Notamacropus eugenii: one gene and its partners. The protein of the gene in region 1 interacts with the protein of each later gene in a pairwise test. Links are inferred from orthologs where the notes say so. Each region holds a gene or a part of one and is shown in the gene's direction. Other genes may lie near its edges. The genes, in order: DACH1, FGF12 and RNF14.

Region 1 (7,784 bases):
GTTAGTTCTTTTTTGCCCTGGGGCACTCTTTGTACCAAATTCCACTTTTCATTTAATTTTCCAATAGATTTCGAAAGACTGAAATGTTTGCGATCAACATTTGATCCACTTGCATTATTTAAAAAAAAAATCTTGTAAGTAATTTCAAATTCCAAAAACCTTGCTTTCAATTAGGGTAAACATAATTAGAGTGACGTCGTGCTTGGAATGGTAAATCTCCCTTTGTATCTATTAAGCATGTTATCTTGTCCTGTCACTGAAAGGAATTCAGTTTGTATTTGTGTTGTGTATTTCTGTGTGCTGGCTTGACTCAAATACAACTGAGGTGGGAGAAAGACAGAGAAAAGAATGATAGTCATATATCCTTTCTTGCAATTTGAGCGTCTAGTGTCAGTCATCTGACCCCTGAACTATATCAGTTTCACTTAATAATGTTATCAACAGTGGATCTAAGTGTTTTCAAGAAATATTCAGATGTTCAAGAAATATGATCTTGATACACATTGACTTTGTTACACAATCATTTGATTTTCTTTTGTGCTCTAGGAAAGGTACAATTTCAGATGTTTCTCCCTCAGATTTACAAGAAGTTCCAGTGGATATATTTACACACACGTGTGTGTGTGTGTGTGTGTGTGTGTGTGTATTAGATGTCTATTAAAACCTGAGAATGAAATGAAATTATTTACCCTAGTATTTTCAAAATGTGTATCTTTCTTACAATATTCTGCTTTTCAGTCATTTATCAAAATTACAATTAAACATGAATAAACTTTAAAAATGAGTACTCATCTCAGAGAAAGTTTTATGAAATGATTTAGTCAGTTTCCCCACTTGAGAAATCAGGGAATAGTATAGGTCAATAGGTAAAGAAAGAATGAAATATAATAATATACTGATGTATTTCTCTAAAGGGAAAAAGGCAAAATAAATCCAGATGGAATTCATGTTTTAAAACTTAAATATGAACATGAGTATCAATTCAAAGAATGTCTTACTATCTCCATGGCACTCTTTGCTATCATATGTTGCGTGCTGTTATGTTTTCTTTTCTCTGTAGACCTTGTGCTTTGTCGTTGCCCTTTGGAAACCAAAAGGCTGTGCCCTGCACAGGGCTAGAGTGCCTGGAGTCTGTCGTTCAGGAGATATTCGCTCAGACTTGAGGAGCAACATTGTACCGTACACTTTCTGACTATATCTTTCAACATTATAGCAAGTCTCCTCACTGGATTTCATAAAGCAATGATCTCTAGTAGTGTGTGTGTGTGTGTGTGTGTGTGTGTGTGTGTGTGTGTGCGCGGGTGTGTGTGTTGTTTGTTTGTTTGTTAAGTAATAAAACTACAAGACCTATCAGCTAGCTTACTGTTGGTGTAGGTTCTCATTCACCCAGAAATGGTCCCTGGGGAAGGTGGGGTAGGGTAGGAGGAGAAAGGGAGGAGGAAGGATAGTGGGAGGAAAGAGAATACCTGCCCTGAACAGTTACAAGAGTGCAAGAGAAGCTCAGCTTCAAACAATATCCTAGGAAAGAAATTAAAGACTTCTTAATTAGTGCAGCAATTAAGCTTTCTTGGTAGCATTTTAATCAGCACAGGCCCTATCAAAGGACAAACAGAACAATTTGCAGGTCTTTGAATTTTAAACAGTCTTATTGATTTCAGCAGAATAAGTCTTCACTTGACACAGGGAAAATTTTCAAATATCAGTGACTATACTTTGAGCTTAGAGGAAGAGACGATGGGGGAAGAGTGTTTGAAATGACCTGAGATGTAAAACAAACAACCAACCAAAAATACCTTGAAAAGCTATAAGTGAGAGGGATAAAGGGATAAATTCAAGTCCTTCTTAGATTGATACTTCTGCTAAGGACAATTCAAGCTCACTTAATTGTTCCTAACATTTCTCAAGCAAGGCACTCTGAAGATTTTTGCACCCTTCCATAAATATATTTTTATTTTCATTATGCTTAGTTCCTAATGCTATCGTCTGATCAAACAAATGCTACACAATGATGAACCTTTTCAAACTATGGTTTTCTTTCAACTGACTGAAAACCTGAAGATTTTCTGTCTCAGAACTCTTTCAGAAGGGACAGACTCCATAATACCCTACTATATAAAGTAAGCACGTGTTGTGGGGCACAGCTTCCCCCCAACATCATGGGTCCTCTTAGAAGTTAAGGTAAAATGGTGACATAATTGAGGGTCATGCTCTAGTTGCAATCGTTGCCTCGCTTGTATGTTACAGGAATGTGGCATGGTTGTGTATGCATGGTACTCTGAGTTAATGTGGGAAACCAGAGGGGGTAAGGGCAGCTTTTCAACACTTGTTTTGCATTGTTCTCATTTATGGGTAGAGAATTCAAAATGATAGAACTGTGGTCTAACATTTTTCAAAGTAGCTGAAGTTTTTATGGTGACATCAAGCTGTGCCATTATAATTAAAGTTGTGTTTGCATTTCCAATATAAAATCAGTTTTACAAGGGTTTGTAACTTTTCTCCCCCTGTTGAATATGAAATCTGCATTAAATATGTTTTAAAATAAACATGTACTTACTGTTTTTGATATTTTTAAGTGCATATATGTACATATACATCCTCACATTGGTACAAGAATTTATTAGATGAAGACACCTTTGATGACCAAAAGAATTTCAACTTTTTTAAAAAGATAGCTGACGTTTGATACCAGGCAGGACAAACAGTTGTCTACAGATTTAAGATATCCTAGAAAGTGTTGTATATGCTTTCCTTCCATGATGTGGACCAATAAGAAAATTCTGGCGAAATAAGGTACCTTTTTTTTAGGATAGATGTGAGTAGATTTTTGACATAGCTATGTTTTTCAATGCTTTTTGTATTCCCTCAAACAACAACAAACAACAAATTTTCAATAATAAGAAAAATAATATTTTAACTAATAAGACATAGAATTTTCAGTGTATAATTCAACAACATGGACTTACAGCTTTCAAAATATATACAAAACTATAATTTCTGTCAAATGTGTAATGCATCATTTCACACCTTGCAGAATTAGATACTGCGCATGTGTAGAGAAAGCCTAATTATTCAAGATCCACAGAGATATAGACAGAGGATTACATTGTGACTTATGCTATTTTAAATCACCTGTTGGTCAGAGACCCTTTAAATACTTAAATGCAACAGGTTAGCTGAATGTAAGAATAAGATGAATTAAAAAGGTGATTGAGAATAATTCTACCAGTTAATTTTTATATATCTCCACTTTGTTTTTTCAGGTCTGCTATTTAGGGGTGTGTGTGTGTGTGTGTGTGTGTGTGTGTGTGTGTGTGTGTGTGTGTGTGTGTGTGTGTGCGTGTGTGTGTGTGTGTGCGCGCGTGTGTGTGTGCACGTGTGTGTGTTGAGTGTAATTTCTTAAAATTTAGACAGAAAGGATATTCCCATAGAATGAGTTAATTTCGAAAACTGTAAGTTAAAAGAGATCTTTTATCATAACATACCAGAAAGTCTTTTGTCTTTTTTAAACAGAGTAACATTTTGTTGTTGTTGTTGCTGGTATTCACTTGAATTTCTCACAGTTTGAGATCCATAAAGTACATAAGTGTGTACCTGCTTTATATTTAGCTAGCCTTTCCTTTTTGAAGTCAGAGGATCTTACATCTATTTCTGACTGGCAAGGAAACATAGCTAACCTGTGTAAAATCCACATCGAGAATATCTTTTCATTTTTCTTTTCCCCCTACAATCTACTGAAATACAGAGCAGATAAAAAGAACATCTGCTATTATTATGTTAGCAATTTAGATGTCTGATTTCTTCCAACTTTCAGTCTATGATCTGTATTTACTAGCCCAGCTCAAAAAAAAACACAAAAAAACGTACTCACAAACAAGTGACCAAACAAACGAATGAATTAAAATCATACGTTTAGGTTTGCATAGGAACTTTCCCTAAAGTAAACTAAAAGCAAATGCAAACCTTCATAAAGATGTATGGAAGGAGAAAGTGTATGTAGATCTTCCATTTATACCTGATTTTCTTCAAAATCATTTTAATACGTCCTAATTCCTATAAGAAACTGTTCAAAGTGCTTTTGTTCGTCTTTAAGTTGACAGGAGATTGCTTAGATGCGTTTGGAAAATTACATGTCGTCGCGGATGAGATGAAATATGAAACATGTAATCTAACGGTAGTATTAAAAGAAAAGATGATCTCCCTTTCCTTTTTCGTCCCCCTCCCATTCCTCGCCCCCCCCCATCTCCCCGCCGTCTATGTCGCTCTCTCTTCACCTCCCTCCCCACCCACAATCTCTCTCCTCACCCTTTTTCTCCTCCCTCCCTCTCTTTCTCGTACTCTCTCGTTCTCTTTCTCAGTATCTCTCGCTCAGTCTGTGTTTCTCTGCTCCGGGTTCCTGGTTGGATAATTTGGGTTAATACTAGTGAGTGAGGTTTTTGAGGCTTCAAAGGGTATTTCAAGTTTCCGGAGCTCCTCCCCTCTGCACCGTGTGACAACAACAACTCGTCCAGAGAGCAGCCAGCACTTTTCAGCTCATTTTCTCTCTGTCATTCCCCTCTCAATCTTTGATCAATGTACTTGCCAGAGAGAACCGAAGTCCTTCAAACCTCCTCCTTTTCACCTTCATCTTTAACTTTGTGCTAGAGCAGGACCCAAAAAAACAATAGCCAACCCTCCCCCCCTCCCTCCCTCCCCCCTAAAAAAATTCAGCCCCCAATCCCAGCCCCTGGAGAGGACTACTCATTTGGACTTGCGGGACACTTTTGTGCGTGTCTCTCCTGCTTCTCGTTCTTACCCCCTCTGCCCTTCATTCTCCCATTCCTTTCTCTTCTCTTTTCTTTTTTTCATTCTTCTCTCTCTTTCCCCCTCTTTATCTTTCTGGGGATTTTGCTTTCTCTCGTTCGTTCTCCCCCTTTCCTTCCCCTCCCCCTGGTGTGTGGCAACTTTTTCCACCCCCCAATCTCCTTCTTCTCCTCTTATATGTCACCATGGCCGTGCCGGCTGCTTTGATCCCTCCGACCCAGCTGGTCCCCCCGCAACCTCCGATCTCCACTTCTGCCTCCTCCTCCTGCACCACCACCTCCACGTCCTCGGCGACCTCCTCTCCGGGTCCCTCCATCGGTCCCCCGGCGTCTTCAGGGCCAACCCTCTTTCGACCTGAGCCCATCGCGGCGGCGGCGGCAGCGGCAGCGGCGGCGGCGGCAGCGGCGGCGGCGGCGGCCACGGTCACCTCCACCAGCGGCGGCGGCGGCGGAGGCAGCGGCGGCGGCGGCGGCGGCGGCTGCACCAGCAGCAACGGAGGCGGCGGCGGCGGCGGCGGCGGCGGCGGCAGCTGCAACCCCAGCCTGGTCACCGCCAGCAGCACCAGCAGCAGCGGTAGCGGCGGCGGCGGCGGCGGCGGCGGCGGAGGCACCTCCAACCCCAGCCTCAACGTGAGCACCGCCAGCTGCGGCAGCAGCAGCAGCAGCAGCAGTAGCAGCAGTAGCAGCAGCAGCAGCAGCAGCAGTAGCAGCAGTAGCAGCAGCAGCAGCAGCTGCGGCAACCTCCCGGGGAAACCAGTGTATTCGACCCCTTCCCCAGTGGAGAACACCCCCCAGAATAATGAGTGCAAAATGGTGGATCTGAGGGGGGCCAAAGTGGCTTCCTTCACGGTGGAGGGCTGCGAGCTCATCTGCCTGCCCCAAGCTTTTGACCTGTTCCTAAAGCACTTGGTCGGGGGCTTGCACACGGTCTACACCAAGCTGAAGCGGCTGGAGATCACGCCGGTGGTGTGCAATGTGGAACAGGTTCGCATCCTGAGGGGACTAGGGGCTATCCAGCCCGGGGTGAACCGCTGCAAGCTCATCTCCAGGAAGGATTTCGAGACCCTCTACAATGACTGCACCAACGCAAGGTAAAGGGGGGTAATCCCTTAGCACCCAGCTCCCTCTTAACCACCCGCCTCCGCCCCCCTCTTTCTCGTCTTTCAGTCCTGCAGCCTCACCAGCCCCACCGAACCTCGGCACTCACCGAGTCTCTCTTTCCTTTCAGTGGTATTGTTGACAAGCCTGACCAAACTGAACCTCATCCAGTCTGTCCTGAGAAGTTGGAAAACCCATTCTCTCTATCCTGCGCTTACTTTCTCCCTTTTCCTTTTCCCCTCTCTTGCCGGTCCCATGCCCTCTCTCTACTCACCAGTAAAATGTTAAACTCTGTGTGCAGGGGAGAGTGGGCGGGGGGGGGGGGCAGTGAGTGCTTTGAGTGTTGAGGGACTTGGGAGAAAGGGGAGAATTGAGAGGAAGGGGCTGGGCTGGAAGCGTGGAGAACATTGAATCTTGCGGGGAAACTCATTCCTCTTCCAGTTTGCTAAAACCTGAGAACACCTACCTTGTCTCACCTCTGCCCTCCCACCGCGTGGAGTGAGGCTCCCCAAAGTCAGGCACTCCGGAGTGCGAGTCTCACTGAAGTGTGATTTTTGTTTGTTGCGGAGCGTGTTTCCAACGGGTGATTAAGATGAGGTTGGGGGAGGTTGTGAAAGGGGAAGATGCGGAATCCAACTCGAGGCATCAGGTTTTCCCAGCCAAGCAAATGGGCTGGGGGTGGGGATGGGGTGCTGGAAAGATGGGTTTCGGAGTAAGGGATGAGAATGCGGGGAGTAGTCTCCCTCCCCGTGGTGAAGCTAAGGAAATATGGTCCCGGGATAACACTTCAAAGTCTAGGGGCACACTGTTTTGGCGTCTGAGAATTGACCCAGTAATTGAACTATCAGTGTCCCATTTCTCCAGGGTAAATTTAGCTACAGCATATAAAGGGGAGGGAGGAAAGAGATACGATTCATATTCTGGAGTGTGTGTGCGTGTGTGTGTGTGTGTGTGTGTGTGCGCGCGCGTGTGTGCAAGTGATTGCCAGAAAGGAAGGAAAGTGGAAGGAAAGTAAGGCTGTTGCCATGGGGCAAAAGAGACTCAGCAGGCTGGTTCTCTTCTGGTGGGGTGGAGTTCCAGATACCGAGGCTTAACTGACTTGGGGAGAGGAGAAAGATGCCAGGTCCCTGCTCTTTCTGAGGTCGGTGGCTCAGTGAAGAAGCAAGTGCGGGAGTTGGGCTCGAAGGTGCAGTCGAGTTCCCAGTAGCTGCCTGGGAACCGAGGAGTGCCTTGGCTGTATTAGCCACGGGTCCAGTTCCAGAGCTGTTTCACTGTACGTCTGCGTGCTCGGAGGGGCAGGATTGTACCGGGAGGGGGCGGGAGAGGGGCAGCTTTTAGGGATCTGGAGATTGTAGGATCCTGGATCGTTCCTCAAACCTTTTGCCAACACACACACACACACACACACACACACACACACACACACACACACACACACACACACACACAACCTCTCTGGCACTGCAGCTCATCTTTTGTCCCATAGGAACGATGGAGCAAAAGTCAAAACCTAGAACAAATAGAACAAAATAGGAAGGGTGTAGTGAAAGTTAAGAGTTTCGTTTAGAGATGACAAGGGCAGACGAGAGGGAGGGAATAACGTGCATAACTGCCCTAGAAAAATCAAATGCTATTGAAATAAACGTGAAGACCAGAACAGAGAGGGCTCTATCTGCACATGTAGCTGATTAGGACGATAGGCTGGGCTGGGCGTGAAGGTAAGAGTTATTTTAGGAAGTAACCAGAAAGGAAGAGCTCCCCTGTTGTCCGAAGGAATGAGAACCGGACTCACAGACTGTCAGACTTGCATCTTAGCTGGCTACCTTGAGGGTAGTGATAAAACTCAGAAGATGAGAACCTTGTGGTGGGGAGAGGATCCTCTTAGCA
Region 2 (7,782 bases), about 120 Mb from region 1:
AGTCAGAAAAACTCATCTTTCTTAGTTCAGATCTGACCTCAGACTTTTACTAGCTGTGTGATCCTGGGCAAGCCATTCAACACTTGCTGCCTTGATTTCTTCCTCTATAAAATGAGGTGGAGAAGAAAATGGCAAACTACTCCAGTATCTTTGCCAAGGAAACCCAAGCAGGAACTTAAAGAGTCAGACATTACTGAAATGACTCAACAACATAGAGGCTCACTTTTCAACAATTTCAGCTGTCACAGTGGTCTTCCTCCCGAGGCACTAAACTAGCTACCCCTGGAGAACTTCAGGCAAAGATTGCTTGGCAGCCTTTTGGGGAAAGTGATAAAGATATTCTGCCTTTTAGGAGGAAGGAATTTATTAAGCTCCTACTTTGTACCGGGCATTTATTTCATTTGTATTACTTCATTTGATACTTACAGCCCTGGGAGGGAAGTGCTGTTATAATTCCACTTTACAGATGAGGAAACTGAGACACAACTTAGATGATTTACCCAGGTCAGATAGCAAGGAAATGTTCAAGGTATGACTTGAACTCAGGTCTTCCTGACTCTAGCCCTAACTTCTATCTAATGTGCTCTCTACCTGTCCAGAGCCTGCTAACCTCTTAAGACCTCACAGATGCTGAGGCTGTAACTCCTCACAACATCTTGTACCTGACTCATCTTCCTTAGCTTCAGAAGGAAGTTAATGATGGGATAAATAATCTAGAAGGATGAATAATTAACAGTAGAAAACCACTCTGAAAATCTACAGCTCCTGAAATTCTTAAATGAAACAGCTTATCTGATAGCATACAGGAAGCAACATATCCTGGTAATAGGGATTTTTGAGTTCGAGAAAATCCTACTCTTCTCAGTCAAAAGTGAAGGGTTTTGTTATCAGTAGAACTATGTGCATTTGGTAATCAGCAGAACCATGTACATTATCTGTTTTACATATCCAACTGATTTTGGCTTGTCAAAATGCAGAAGTGATTTTCAACATCTGCTCAAATAGCAATTTTTATCTGACCCCCCCTCCCCTTCCCCATTTTAAACCTTAAGATGTGTTCCATTGATTACCTGGTGATCCAAGGTCAACATTACCCCACAGGACTGAAAAAATAAAGTCAGCTCCATGAAGGATGAAAAAGTAAAGAATGTTTAAAGTGAATTTGATTCCTTAAGACAACAATAAGTCTATTGTGGGGCTAGAGGAAAATTGATCAGATTTTGAGGCAGCTGGTCAAAAGGAGAGCAATCTCAGCACTTCTCCGCCTCCAGAGAGTCATAGCCAGATTCTGTGAGAAAGTGTCTCCTTTTGCTTCCACTTGGCACAGAAGTGTTATATCGGAGGGGGATAGATAGTGCTAAGTACGGTCATTCCCTGAGTTCTTTTCTCAGTTCATTCCTCCCAAGTATCCTTTGCTACTGTTAACACTGGTTTTCCCATAAAAGTTGCCTAGTCTTTCTGCTCAGTTGGCCAGCTGTGAATTGGAAGAGAGGGCTCTGCTTTATCAAAGACAGGAGCCTCACCAATCCAGTCTGTTCTTGTGTTACTCCAAACTCAGGGATGAATTCTATTAGCCAAGTAAAATCACTTTCTTTGCTGAATTTGGACAAGTCTTTAATTGATAACATCCATATGGTGCTACCAGTTGGTTTTAAGCCCCCACTCATATGCACTGAAATGCATTGTGTCTCATTTGTGGCAAATATATATTTTAACAAAAACTATTGTCAGAACACTGTGGACCATTCCACTTCTCATTCAAGCAAATGAAGCTGGTGCAAGAGTATGGTCCATGAGCCATGGGGGTTTCTCCTCCATGTTTACCCTGGAATGCAATGAACCTGCCCTCGAAGGTCCCTGTTCTTAACTTGATCCCTTCTAAGCAGCTGCCAAACTGATTCTATAATTCCCTTACCCCAACTGCCAGCCCAAGACTCATCTGGCTCATATTTCCTAGACAGCCAAGTATGTACACAATTCCTAGCCTAAGCAGTCACACATGCAAAGTTCTTGGCTTTCCTTCGGTGCAAATCTACCCTTTTCCCCAGGCACACTCTTGCCTCTGCATGGGGACTGATGTTCTGTACCAGAATGACATCTCTTTGAGGGAGTGGGTTTGATTTATTGTTGTCCAAATGTCATCTCACTCCCCACCTAGAAGCTGTTGTCTGTGGCTATTTGGTCACTTAAAATCATGTCTGACTCTCTATAGCCTCATTGTGGGTTTTCTGGGCAAAGATGTTGGAGTAGTTTGCTATTTCCTTCTACAGCTCATTTTACAGATGAAGAAACTGAGGGAAACAGGGTTAAGTGACTTGCCCAGGGTAATACACCTATAATCTGGCACATGGCATTGGCTGCTTAATCAATGTTTATTGAATAATAGTTGTTGAATTCAGTTTTGCATTCCAATCATCCTTTGGATTTATTCTCAAAGAAACTATCTAGAGTCTATATGTGTGTGTGTATTATATATGTATTTCTAAAATCTCAGACTTGGATGGAGTTTTTGAAGGAGATAAGTGGTGCGGTGGACAGAGGGTTAGGTTTGGAGGTAAACAAACATTAGTTCAAATATTGACTCATATCCTTACTAACTGTGTGACCCTAGGCAAGTCAATTAATCTCCCTAAACCTCAGTTTTCTCTTCTGTAAACTGAAGGAGACAACCTTGATTGTCTGCAAGAACCTTTCCATTTTAAAATCTTTAGTACTATAAACTTTCCCCCCAACCTATAGCTCAAGAAGAGTATTATCTCCAATGCACATCCAGCATCCTCTTACAGATCTCTAGTATGGAGGAACTCAGCACTTCCCGAGGCACCCCATTTCACTGCACTGCTGTAATGTTAAGAAGCTGTGCCATATTGTAATGAGCTGCCACTTTCTTCTTGATCTTCTGCTCTTGACTCTAGTTCTGTCCACTGGATCCGGGCAGAGTCAGTCTAATCCGTCCTTCCACAGCAGCCTCTAAATGCTTGAAGAAAGCTCCTCTATGTGTTCCCTTCCTTTCCCCCAGCTCTCCTCAAAGCTAAACATTCTTTCATGTAATGATCCTCACATGACCTGGTCAGGCTCCTGAATGTATGTTCAAGCTTGTTAAAGTCCTTCATATGTAAGTGCCCAGAACTGAACACATCACTTGTGTACGTGCTCTGTTTGGCAGAGCATATCTCCCGACAGTTTAGCAAATGAGTCTGGATTCTCTGTTGCTGATGCCACTTAGCATCATGTCTCTGCTTGGTAAAGAGTGAGGAGAATAGATACGTGATAGATCTATTGTTTGCATTTACTGGGCAAGTGACCACCACTTGACACAGGAGACGTAGAGGATCACATCCTCATTCTAAAAGAAACCAGAATGTATACTCAGAAAATTACAGAACAATTCTAGGGACTTCAGAATGACTGTGTCAGGGCAGGTGATAAGGCAGCTGAGTTCTCCCATGCTTTGCCGATATCTCAGAATTCCAAGAGACCCTCAGACTTTATATATCAATGAGTTATAATCTAGTCTGATTGAAACCCAGTCTAGTCCATTGATACCTTACTCTTAGTATAAGGATTCCCCTTTCTCCCTTTCAACCCCAGAAATCAATCCTAGATTGACTCGTGGTTCTATTCTCTGATGTCAACAGCAAAGGGTAGAATCTATTTCGTTTTCATGTAACAGCCCTTCAAATAAATCTTGGAACTGGTTTTCACCATTTTTGTCAGCCTTCTCTGGGTATCTGGACTCCTCAACATCCTCCCCATATTGTGGTGCCCAGAACAACACACAGTACTTCAGATGCAGATTGACCAGCATAGAAAATAGAGAATGCCCTCTCATATTGGACACTCTCCTTTAAGTGGTTAAAGTTATTGTGGTTTATTTTCCTGAAAGTGTCAAACTTTTTCACAAATGACCTTGGGTGGGGTTAATACTTTAAACCCAACAGAGACACCCTGGGTCTTGGCTTTACATAAAGATAGAAGGCACTTTTAAGGTGATCCAATTCAATCCACTTCTTTTGCAGAGAGAGAAATGGTTTCTTCGATGAGAAAGGGATTTGCCCAGGATCATACACCTAGTGGATATCTCAGGAGAATTTGAATCTCTGTCTTTCTGGCCTCTAGTCATTGTTCTTTTCATTACACCAGGCTTACCTTAGTTGGCAGCTCTTGGTCAAGGGAATCTTCTGTAGGTTCTGGGAAGCCTCTGGGATTTGAATGACTCTTAGGAGGCTCTGACTCGCGGCCTTCACTTAGCTGTTTTGAGAAGGACTTGAGGTGGTGAACCCAGCAGGTGGTCTGAAGGCCATTCCCTGATGCCCAACTGCTTCCCAAATAGAGAAATCGTTAACTGAGCCAAACTTACCCAGGGTCCTTACTGTGTTTTTTCTCTCTCTCCCTTTCGCTAACACTCTTTAGCCACCGCTCCTCTGTGTAATCAACGTTTTGCACACAGTAGGTGTTTCATCTTGCAGTTGGGCATGTTGTTCTCCTCTCCCCTGCCCCTCTCCCCAGCTCACACACCCCTTCCGTGGCTGCCCAGGGCCCTTTTCTCCTCAGCAGGTCTTCGGCAAGAGATATTTTCTCTTCAATTCGGTAAAGGAGGGGACAGAGCACACTCGAACTGCAGTTCCCTAGCTCTGCCTCTGAGAATTTCTCATCCAAACCTCAATCACGTAGGATTGCGTAGAGAGAAGAGGAGAGACAGAAGACACAGAAAGAGAAGGGGGAGGGAGGGCGAGAAGGAGGGAAACACAGGCAGCCGCTGGGGCTGGGGGAGGGGGAGGAGGAAGACCAATGCCATCAGCCGGAGCCCAGGAAGAAAATGGGCCCAGCAGCCCACGCTTGCTCGCTGCCCAGCGGCTGTTGAGGGCTGGATTTTAACGCCCTCCTCCCAGCCCCCCTGTTCTTTTTCCCAGGCTGCAAGGCAGAAGTTCGGAAGGCTTTCCCTTTCTCCACTCCCCACCCCCTTCCCAGTCATTTGCCCCAGCGTGTCTTCTCTGCCTGGAGTTTCCTCTTCCAGACCTGAGCGAGCCCCAGCCAAAGTGAACAGAAGCCTGCAAGCCCAGTCTGAGCCGGAACCGGAGCCCGAGCCTGAGCCCGAATCTGAGCCAGATCTGCAGCGGGCACCCAGGGGTCTGTTGGGCCGACGGACCAGCCCTTCCCGGCCTCTGACTAAACGCTCGCGACGTAGCCCCTTGTGAGCTAGGCTCAGCCCTGAACTTGACCTCCCGCGCCCAGCCGGGGGCGCCGATGGATCCCCCGGAGCTTCCTCTCCGTCCGACGCGGGAATACCCCTTGCCCTGAGCCGCGCCAGCACCCAGCTGCTACTGGGCGGGCTTGGGGCGGTGTCGGCTGCGGGCGCTTACTGACGGCGGGGCACACTAGCTCCTGGGCAGCCGGTGCCTCTTGGGGAGCAAGCTCTCGCCAGTCTCCCGGGGCTCGGCTCTCCTCTGGGCTGACGCGAAGGGCCGGGTGGGCCGGACGATGATGTGGCTCTGTGCGCTCCCGGAGCTGCCTCGCCTGGCAGCCGCCGTCTCAGGCCAGCAGCCTCCGAAGGGCAGGATGATGTGTGCCCGCAGCGTGCCGGTGCTCCTAGCGTCCTCTCCAGCCGCCCCCTCCTCCTTTTCCTCTGCCTGCTTCAGCTGCTCCGGACGCGTGTTGTCTTTCTCCCAGGGCTGGGATGGGGACCGCAGAACTGTCTGAGCGTCCGCGGCCGCCTGCGTCTCGGATCTAATCCATCGGTCTCCTGGTTGGGCCGATTATTCTCTGTGTGGAAGCGGGGACGTCTTTCTGAACCCGGGGCGAAGGGTAGGCGCCGCGGGTGGGCCGGCAGGCCGGTAGGCGCGAAGCAGGGCCCTCGGGGCGATGCCTTGAACCCTTGGACTCTCCAGAGCCAGGGCCCTCCTGCTTCTGGGCCGGCTCATGGCAGGGAAGCCCCGCTAAAGCGGCCCAGGGAGGGCCTGGGCCGCGCTCAGCACCCCAGAGACACCCCCCCCCCCAATCCAAGGCTGAGCTACTCCGCTGGGGCTGGGGATCGGGGACCCTCCGCTGAGCCTCCCAGACGCTCATTTCCCGAAGGTATTCCCACTGTGCGGGTCTAATCCAGGAGCAGAAAGGGATTTCCCTCCTGCAGACTGGGCTCTCTATCCCCTCCTCCCCGCCTCTTGCCCTCACCGTGGGGGCGGGCGGGCGGTTCCCGGGGGCGCTAGGCTCCCGGGGATCTCCCTCCCCAAGCTCCCTCCCCTCCTTTTTCTTCCTTCTTCCCCCCTCTCTCTCTCCCTTTTTCCCTTGACTACACCGCTCTGGTGAATTGACGTTCCCACAGCTTCTGGCGCTCCTGGAGCTCGCCCCACAGCTGGTAACAGCTGCCAGGGCAACACCAAACCCGGTGAAGCACCAGAACCGGGGCCCCATTCCACCTTGCTCCGATTTGTGTCCCCTCCACTTTCCAGGTAGCCTTTGGCTTCCAGACGCAAGGCACTCATTTCCGTTTGGAACAAAACGTAAATCTAGCCGTCCACACAAGTACCACCGAGTTCGGGAGTGGTGGGAGATGTCGTTAGCACGGGCTGACCTGGGCTGAATGGCTCCTTTGGTCTTGCAGAGTCAGCCAACCAGCACTTAAGTGGCTGCCCGGCTTTTTCTCCTCAGCTTTGGTGGTTTCTTTTCTACAGGCCCTTAGCTTTTACTCACTTTTTAGCTTTTGTTGTTGTTAGCAGGGGGGCGAGTGCCCTCCCCACACTCACCGCTTTGTACACAGTTTTTACATCGAACTCTCACTTCCTCACCTTTGCTTCGGGGTCAGGGTGCAGCCAAGACCCTGAGGGCAGGAGTGTGAGGACTCGAGCCCGGAGCCACCTTCTTATTTGGGACAGGACCTCAGTGCACAGACACTCCAGAGCCGGGCCCGACTCCAGGCAAGCCTAGCTGAGCGCCTTGTTCAGCCTCACCTGGACAGCCGAGTCCCACGGCTCCAAGACCTCGGGGCCAACTTGGGGTGGGAGCGGGTGGGGGGTGACCTCGGCTTGCAGAAAGAACTACCTACCTTTTACTTTCTGCAGCGGCGCTCCGGGAAGTTTACACTCGGATTTACCTTCATTTTGTCTCCACCAACAAACAGTTCCTTCGTGGTCTCTTAATTACCCACGGATCAAGACTGACTTGGTCGGCTGCTGGGCGCCGGGTTTTCCCTACCGCAGCCAACACAGAGCTTCTTCATCACTGCCTCGCCTTTGCCTGATCGAGGCACTTTCGGGGTCCTCACTGACCTGCCTTGGATTAGGAGGGAAGGCTACCAGCCCTCCTTCCTCCCCCGACCCAGGAGCCCTCTGGGGCTGGAGCTGGGGCCCCGACGGCTGAGCCGCTATGGCTGCGGCCATCGCCAGCTCGCTGATCCGCCAGAAGCGCCAGGCTAGGGAATCGAACAGCGATCGGGTTTCGGCCTCCAAGCGCCGCTCCAGCCCCAGCAAGGATGGGCGCTCCCTTTGCGAGAGGCATGTCCTCGGGGTGTTCAGCAAGGTGCGTTTCTGCAGTGGCCGGAAGAGGCCAGTGAGGAGGAGACCAGGTCAGTGGCAGCAATTGAGATCCGCGGCGAGCTTCCTTCCCTCCCCCGACCCCTGGCAACCTCCTCTTTCTCACCACTTGGGTTCCCATGGAGCCCCTTCCCTCATCACCCCACCTAAGGTTCAGCAGGCACCAGCGATGAGGATGAGCCCCGGAGGCCTGGGCCGGGATGCTTCCTTCCCTCACCTTGCCCTAGGTTTCCTTTCCAAAACCCTCCACTAG
Region 3 (7,911 bases), on another chromosome or scaffold:
GCCTTTATCATTGCATTGTTTTTAATTTGAAAGATCCATCCATGAAATCCCTCCATCACATTAGGGGGCTTTTCAGGTTTGAGTTTTTTGTTTTGTTGTGTTTTACTTATTCTTTCTCATTCAGCATCTTCTTACCTGCCTGTTGGATTAACTTTTTTTATGAGAGGAGGGAGAGTTTAAAGTTTAACTCCTACCAAGCCCTGTCCCTTGGGACAAAGAGTAACTTGGACCCTTAGAAGGGAAACAATATTGAGAAATACTTTAATCCTGCACTTGGGGTAGCAGGGTGGAGAGAGACTCAGGACATTCAAGAAACATTTCCTCTTCATCACAGGGAGGGTTCCTTGTATCACACTTATGCCCTTGTATCACACTTGTCTCCACCTTGATTTCACTTACATTCTAGAATGTGCCCAAATGTCCTAGAATGTTTCATCTGGTATCTATCTATCTATCTATCTATCTATCTATCTATCTATCTATCTATCTATCTATCTATCTATCTATCTGTCTGTCTATCTATCTATCATCTATCTATCCATATATATCAACATAATCCCTTGAGGCTTTTATTATATTGCAACATTCCTTTGACTTTTTCATCAAATTCATAGTTAAAAAATTATAATTGCATGGTTTTGAGGAAACACTTTGTAAACCTCAAAGCACTATAAAAATGTAAGTTGTTATCATTGTTATATCCTCCATTACTGAAATCCTACCTACTCTGGTGCTTTGTCATAGCATAGAGATAACCCTGAGTTCTTAGATGCCATGTCAACAATATGGCCTCTACTGTGGGTGTAACAGGAGACTGTATTGTCTATTATTCAAGGACCAGCCTAGATAAATTTGGAGGCTCATCAGTGGGTTGGCTACCCCAGGTAAGGAAGACCATCTACTATGGTCTAGTAGAAAGATTACCTTCTGTGTTGACTGACTACTCTGATGACCCCACAGATCTTTGAAGCAATACATGTGTCTATAAGTACATATATATGTATATATATATATACATACACATACATATACATACACACCTATATATAATATATAATACAATACACACCTATAAATAATCATTAATAATGGAACAATTAAAATAAGAGAAAAGACATAGTTGTTTTTACTAGTTATATATATATATATATACATACACATACATATACATACACACCTATATATAATATATAATACAATATATACAATACACACCTATAAATAATCATTAATAATGGAACAATTAAAATAAGAGAAAAGACATAGTTGTTTTTACTAGTTATATATATATATATACATACACATACATATACATACATACCTATATATAATATATAATACAATATATACAATACACACCTATAAATAATCATTAATAATGGAACAATTAAAATAAGAGAAAAGACATAGTTGTTTTTACTAGTTATATATATATATATACATACACATACATATACATACATACCTATATATAATATATAATACAATATATACAATACACACCTATAAATAATCATTAATAATGGAACAATTAAAATAAGAGAAAAGACATAGTTGTTTTTACTAGTTATATATATATATATATATATATATATATATATATATATATATATATATATAGGTGTGTATGTATATGTACCTGAAGTTTAGATTATATTGCAATGTTTTTATCTTTGTCCAGATTACATTAATAATTGATTACAACATTCCTAAAACCAGTTTGGAACTGCCCAGTTGGACTGATCTTGATATGACTTTGATATGCTACAATAACCACTTGGATTTGGGGGTGGGGGAAGGTCTAGTGTCTCTTGAAGAGATTGCCTCTACTCTAGATATGCTTCCTCCCTCTTCAGGGCATGCCTGAATTTCTTGCCTTTTTCTGGAAACATAAATGCCTCATACTTATACAATAGGTACTTTCCCCAGGTCAATCCCTGGTATCTCCCTGCTTATGTCATCAGAGGTGGGAAGCCAATCAGATGAGCTCAGATGAGAGCTGCTCCCTTTCTTCCCCTTCCCCATCCCCCCAATATCCAGAGACTTTACTGTTAAGTCGCCCTAATGGAGAGTTATTTTTGAGTGATTCTTTGCAGTTGGAGGAAACAGGGCCTTGGCTATCTCCCACACTGACTAGAAGTGAAAGAAGACATATTTGACGAAGTTAGCTCAAAGAGCAATTTTGTCCATTATTTCCTCCCACCCACCACCAAATTTCCTCCTCTTGCTCTGGAGGAGGAATGTCACACCTGAGGTCTGGCACCTTCCCTGCTTATACCCTTTCCTTGTTGTCCCTGTCCTCCATGTTCCCCTCCCTGAGGTATCTCACTTTAGATTTCTGCCCTTCTCTTGTGTGAGGTGAGATGTACTATAATAAAAATCTCTTGTGCTACACATCACTGGCTTACTTCCTGATTCTTTTTTGCAAGACTTTCTCTAAGTCTCTGGGGCCATAAAAGCTTCTTTGCTTCAAACTAAGCAGAGAAAGAGAACTCTGAGCCTGATTCTGGGCCTTCAGCATTGCCTGCTTTTAAGAACAAGTCCTTTGACTGAGACCTAGTGGTCAGACTGGGACTGAGCTGGAGACAGTTAACATTCAAGTATCTAGAAAGCAAATGAATGTTACGGCAAAAGATTCTTCTCAAGAAAGCTTCTAACATTTCCTGTCTGTCTTATGAATCTAAAGGTTATCTGAAGATGAGGTGAAAAATAATCATTAATAATGGAACAATTAAAATAAGAGAGAAAAGACAGTTGCTTTTACTAGTTGTATATATACAGCTTTAGGACCAACAATTCATCCTTCGGGCTGAAGAGAGATATAGACAATCCTTTTAATTTCCATTATTATCAAGCTCTCTGTACGCTTTTTCCAATACCCTCAGCAGTTTTTTTTCCTAGATCTAGTGTTAAAATGAGCTTTACAATGACAGTAAGAGAATCTTTCAGACTTGATGATCCTCTGAAGTTTCTCTTCAGCAGCTTCAGTTGGAAATCTCCTGAAATGGTGTAACCTAGAGTTATTCTCTGTACCCACATATCACCCCCAAACTGGGTCTCTGGTTTTAGAGTCCAATGTGAAGGGAGAATTCCTATACTTTATTTTCTGAGACTTCATTTCTTAATGTACTTTGCTTCCAGAGTTCAAAACAAACTTACAAGTATGTCTACACATACATACACGTACATATATATGCATATACATATATAGACACACACACACACACACACACACACACAGGTATATCACAGCCCAATTTAGACAATTCAACATCAACATCTACCGATTAGCTCCAAAAGGTATGCATGAAAAAGCATGTCCCTGACCCTCAAAGAACTTACATTGTAACAGAGAAAGACAATATCTATAACCAGGGTGTTTAGTGGGTCCATGCAGCAACAGTGATTGATGGCAAGAAGATGGCCTGGTCAAGTGGCATGGTTTAATCTGGGCTGGCTCTCACTAATCAGGACAGCGTGGCTACAAGATCCAGAGTTCCAAAGCTTGAGGAGCTTAGCTCCTCTAGGACCTCATCTTTGGAGGTTGTAACAAATGACAAGACAGGTAGCAAGATAGCTAATGGTCTGATCTGGGAATGGTCAGTGAGACTGTAACCTAAAACTCACTGTATCTCATAATCTAGAGCGTCTCCAAGTCAGCTAACCTCACTTCCTATTGTGTAGACTCAAAATGAGAATGGAAAAAGCTGGCATAGCTTATCAGTGATCTCTATCAGTTAAAGTCCCTTATCTAAAACCTTGATCTTAGTCTTATATTTCTCTAATCAATTGATCAAACTCACTCTCAGAGAAGACCAAGTTTACACACTACCTATTAGGTACCAGCAATACTGAGAAGCAGGATAATGTAGTGGAAAAATCACTGGACTTGGAATAAGAAAAGGACCTGAGTTTTGTAGCTGTCCAATGTATTCATCATATAAATATGATCACTATTGTGGCTACCTGTGTGTGTGTTCTTCCTTCATTGCTGAAGATCATGCCATCAGAGAAATGGTGACATGATTTGCACTTGACTTTGTTCTGAGTGAGGGAGGGCTGTGCAGGTCACCAGCCTCACTTCTCCTCCAGAGCCACCTGAATCCAGTGACCAGATATTCATCAGGATGACTGGAGATGACTCAGGATGAGGCAATTGGGGTTAAGTGACTTGCCCAAGGTCACACAGCTAGTGAGTGTCAAGTGTCTGAGGTAAGATTTGAACTCAGGTCCTTCTTCTGCATTGGCGCTCTATCTACCGCACCCCCTAGCTGCTCCAATTCATTTAGTACTCTGAGGTTTAAAAAAGTCCCATCTATCTACTCAACACCACTGTGAAGTAGGTCCTGGAAAGCATTATTCCCATTTCATAGATGAGGAAACTGATACTCCGAGTGTTTAAGTGACTTGGTCAGCCTCAAGAGCCACACATTTGAATGCTACTAAACTAACAAACCAAAAGGCAGGATTCAAATCGGGAACTTGCATCTTAGATGTGCTACCTTCCCAATCTGGGCCAAAGAACAGGTCATGAAAAGGCAGGGAGTATATTGCCCTTGAAATCTCATTATTCTTCAAGTAATCAGATTCTGGCTGATTCAAACACTTCCCTAAATTACATCCTGAATTCAGCTCTGGACCATAAAAACTTCTGTAACCATACTCTCAAAAACAATTTAGAACCTAAATAGGAACACGGCCACTTTCAATGCTTATCATTACTAACTAACTATCTTGACAACACAATTCCAACTCAGGGGCCATCATCTTCAACTATCTCCATTCACTGTCTGTGACATCACATGGTGTCACAATTAAACCTATGACTGCCTGTCTTAGATAAATCCTTATGGGTTATCCTATAGACTCATACTGGATCATGTAATCTCACATACATGCATTTGGTAATGAAGGGTACAAGGAAACATACCAATGACACAAGGATTGCTGTGTAATAATAAAGCTCTACTGGCCTGTGATGGAGAAGGTATGAGCTCTTTCATGGGGCCCAGACACTTTCCTTTAGGCTGAATTATTTACTAATAGCAGCTGGCTGAGTATTTCATTTGGTTTCTATTCTGAGGTAGGGAGGAGGCAAAGATTTTTTTCTCCTTTTTGCCTACACTGATTGTTAGTGAAAACGACATTAGTGAATTTGGTCAAAGGAATGTCATTCATCTGGACTGATTTTTCAAGGTTTTTGTTTCCATTGTAGAGCTATATTTCAATTACAGGCAAGGCTTTAATCAAACATGATCTATGAAAATTCAGATTTATAAAATGCAAATGGGGGAGGGATAATTGTTTGCTTTATAAAAAGGCTGATGCTTAGACTCTGCTTTAGTCAGACCAGTCTTGAACCTTCTTCCAGTTCTTCCCCCCAGGCCTACACTATTCTTTCTCTTTAACTCCTTTTGTACTTATTTTACGTACTGCACCATGTGGCACTTTTATGATATCTATAATATAATCTATAATGCATACTGCCTTAGTCACTCAACCCTAGCTGGATGGAATAAGAATTCTCAGCTCCAACGTCCTTCTTTCCCACCCCCTGTATTTTACAATTAGAACTGAAGACAGACTATGAGGGCATGCACATGTGAAGTGTTGCTTAGAATACTGCTTCACTATGACTGCTGGCTTGTAACCCTGAGAGTCTTCAATTCATTCCTCTTTTAGTATCCACTACAGTGGATAGTACTAGACCTGACTTGCATTTTAATACAGTAGAGAGTGCTGGACTTGGACTTGGGGTCAGGAATCTTTGGGCTTGAATACTCTGAATAACGTGTCAACTAACCTCACTATTGTCTAGACCCAGTCCAGGATCCTTACTGTCTAGGATCGGTCACTGGGTCCCTCTGAACCTCAGTTTTCTCATCTATAAAATGGGCATAGGTATTACCAGAGTTGTTATGAAGTACCTAACACGTACTTGGCTTAAAGCTCTACATAAACATCAGCTACTGTTATTATGCCCCAAAAATGTAAGGAGATAAATGGGAATTCCTCGCTACAACCTCGGTCAGGAGAACAATGTCTGGTGAACTTGCAGAGACGTGGAAATCCAGGAAAGAAGAAAGGTGTGAGCTCTGCATCCCTCAGTGGTCTCACTTCCATTTAACAACCATTTGGTTGCGCTCCTACCATAAAAGGATGGCCTTTTACAGTGGGAAGGGTTCTTATGTGCCTTCCACAGGTTTCTCAACCCGAACCACATTCTGTTTTTAACATCAAGACTGTGCCGGGATCGCTTGAGCCCTTGCCCTTCCGACCTCGGGCAGCCCAGTCTAGTCCGCAGGACGTTGGCCAAGAGCGGGAGAGGAGGGAGAAGGGTCGGTTTTTCGGTGCACAGGCTAGGGAGTGTGGATGACCTCTTTGCGAGGTCCGGCTCCATGAACCGGGCCAAGGTGAAGTGATTGGGTCACTGCCAACCAGGGACGGCGGGGACCAAACCAGAGAAGCAGCCGGTGGAGGCGTCTCTGGACTTCATTTCCTAATTTGCAAACGTGGGACGATCTCCGAGGTTCTCCAAGATCTCAGAGCAAATGAGGGGGAAGCAGACAGACAGGAGAGAACTGGGGCGCTTCCTGGGGGCACCTCTGGAAGTAGTCTAGCAGAAAGTGCCCAGGAATGAATGAACGTACGCTCTATTGTGATTTGGGGCAAGCCACCGAGCCTCAGCCCCCGAAGGAGCAAGGGCTTGTGTGCCTCGAGAACCACCTGGGGCTTGTTTGTTCACACACCCACTTGTAAAGCCCGAGGCCCAGTGGTGCTGGGATGCCCCCGGGTTCCATCTCCACGTCCTCCTCTTCCTCCTCCTCCTGCCCTTTCTCTCCGGCTTCCCCGCTTCCGGCCGTTCCGGCTCTCACCACCTCCACCCTGCAGGGGGCGCAGCTCCCGGAGCGTCAGCGTCTGCGCCGCGCCTTCCCTCCCGCCGTCGGCCCCGCCCTCCCCACCCCACCCTGGCCCGCCCCGCCCCATCCCATCTCATCCCATCCCATTCCGTTCGGTTGCTCTGTGGTTAGAGGAAACTGCCTGCCGGGCCAGGTGAGGTGGACGGCAGGGAGCGGAAGTCGCCGCCGACCTCCACGCCGACCTCCTCCTCGGGGGTGGGGGCCGAGCTGAAAGGCGGCGGCGGCGGCGGTTGCGGCGGCGGAGGCGGCTCAGCAGGCCGTAGCGACCCTTGCGGCGACGGCCCTTCAGTCACCCGGTGCCGAGGCGCTGGCCGCGCGGGCTGACCGGTCGGGAGGAGGGGGGAGGGGAGAGCGGGGCGGAACCTTTGGGGCCGAGCTCGGGCTGCCACCGGAAGGTGAGGGTGCTGGCCTCCAGGCGCCCGGTATGGAGAGGAGGGGAGACGAGGCGAGGCGGGGCCGGGCGGTTGGAGGGCCGCCCGCGGAGGATGCGGGGAGGGTTGTTAGTGCGGGTTCTGAAACTCCCCCGAAACACCTTCAAACAGCCCCTCTTGCCTGCCCGAATCCATCCCCGGAACGTGGGGAGACGACGGAACCGAGGCGCCCCGTGGGAAAGGGCGGGGCGGACGGCCGCCCCCTCCCCGTCCCCGTCCCCGTCCCCATTCGCAGACTGGCCCCTTTTTCTAGAAGGAAGGGAGCCCCTACCCCAGTAAAGTCAGGGGTGCCGGGGAGAGAACACCGAACCTGGAGGCAGGAAGGCTCGGGCTTAGACACTCAGTAGCTGTGTGACCCTCTGCCTGCCTCAGTTTCCTCATCTGTAAAACGAGGATAACAGCACCTCCTGCTCTGAGTTGGGAGGATAGAGTGAGGCAACACTTGCCAATGTTACCGTTATGAAAAGATGGGGGCGGAAAGAGGAAAAATTAGTAATTACTTTCCTCATTCGGTGGCTGGCCTAAAGAGAATAATTTGCCTTTTTATAGGGTTCGGAGTT

What was found.
Region 2: the proteins of DACH1 (region 1) and FGF12 interact in binary tests that used the Homo sapiens proteins (3 or more experiments, as listed by UniProt). The two-hybrid records come from large-scale screens. The link is inferred for Notamacropus eugenii from reciprocal best matches to the Homo sapiens genes DACH1 and FGF12.
Region 3: the proteins of DACH1 (region 1) and RNF14 interact in binary tests that used the Homo sapiens proteins (3 or more experiments, as listed by UniProt). The two-hybrid records come from large-scale screens. The link is inferred for Notamacropus eugenii from reciprocal best matches to the Homo sapiens genes DACH1 and RNF14.

The regions. Positions count from the first base shown.
Region 1 is NC_092877.1:266,364,111-266,371,894, forward strand, and holds the start of DACH1 (dachshund homolog 1), read left to right. Parts: upstream 1-4,700; 5' UTR 4,701-4,985; coding exon 4,986-5,890; intron 5,891-7,784. UniProt on the Homo sapiens protein: Transcription factor that is involved in regulation of organogenesis. Seems to be a regulator of SIX1, SIX6 and probably SIX5.
Region 2 is NC_092877.1:384,453,949-384,461,730, reverse strand, and holds the start of FGF12 (fibroblast growth factor 12), read left to right. Parts: upstream 1-4,761; 5' UTR 4,762-7,362; coding exon 7,363-7,561; intron 7,562-7,782. UniProt on the Homo sapiens protein: Involved in nervous system development and function. Involved in the positive regulation of voltage-gated sodium channel activity. Promotes neuronal excitability by elevating the voltage dependence of neuronal sodium channel SCN8A fast inactivation.
Region 3 is NC_092872.1:369,341,778-369,349,688, forward strand, and holds the start of RNF14 (E3 ubiquitin-protein ligase RNF14), read left to right. Parts: upstream 1-4,869; 5' UTR 4,870-4,987; intron 4,988-6,964; exon of another isoform or gene 6,965-7,053; intron 7,054-7,087; exon of another isoform or gene 7,088-7,342; intron 7,343-7,403; exon of another isoform or gene 7,404-7,911. UniProt on the Homo sapiens protein: E3 ubiquitin-protein ligase that plays a key role in the RNF14-RNF25 translation quality control pathway, a pathway that takes place when a ribosome has stalled during translation, and which promotes ubiquitination and degradation of translation factors on stalled ribosomes.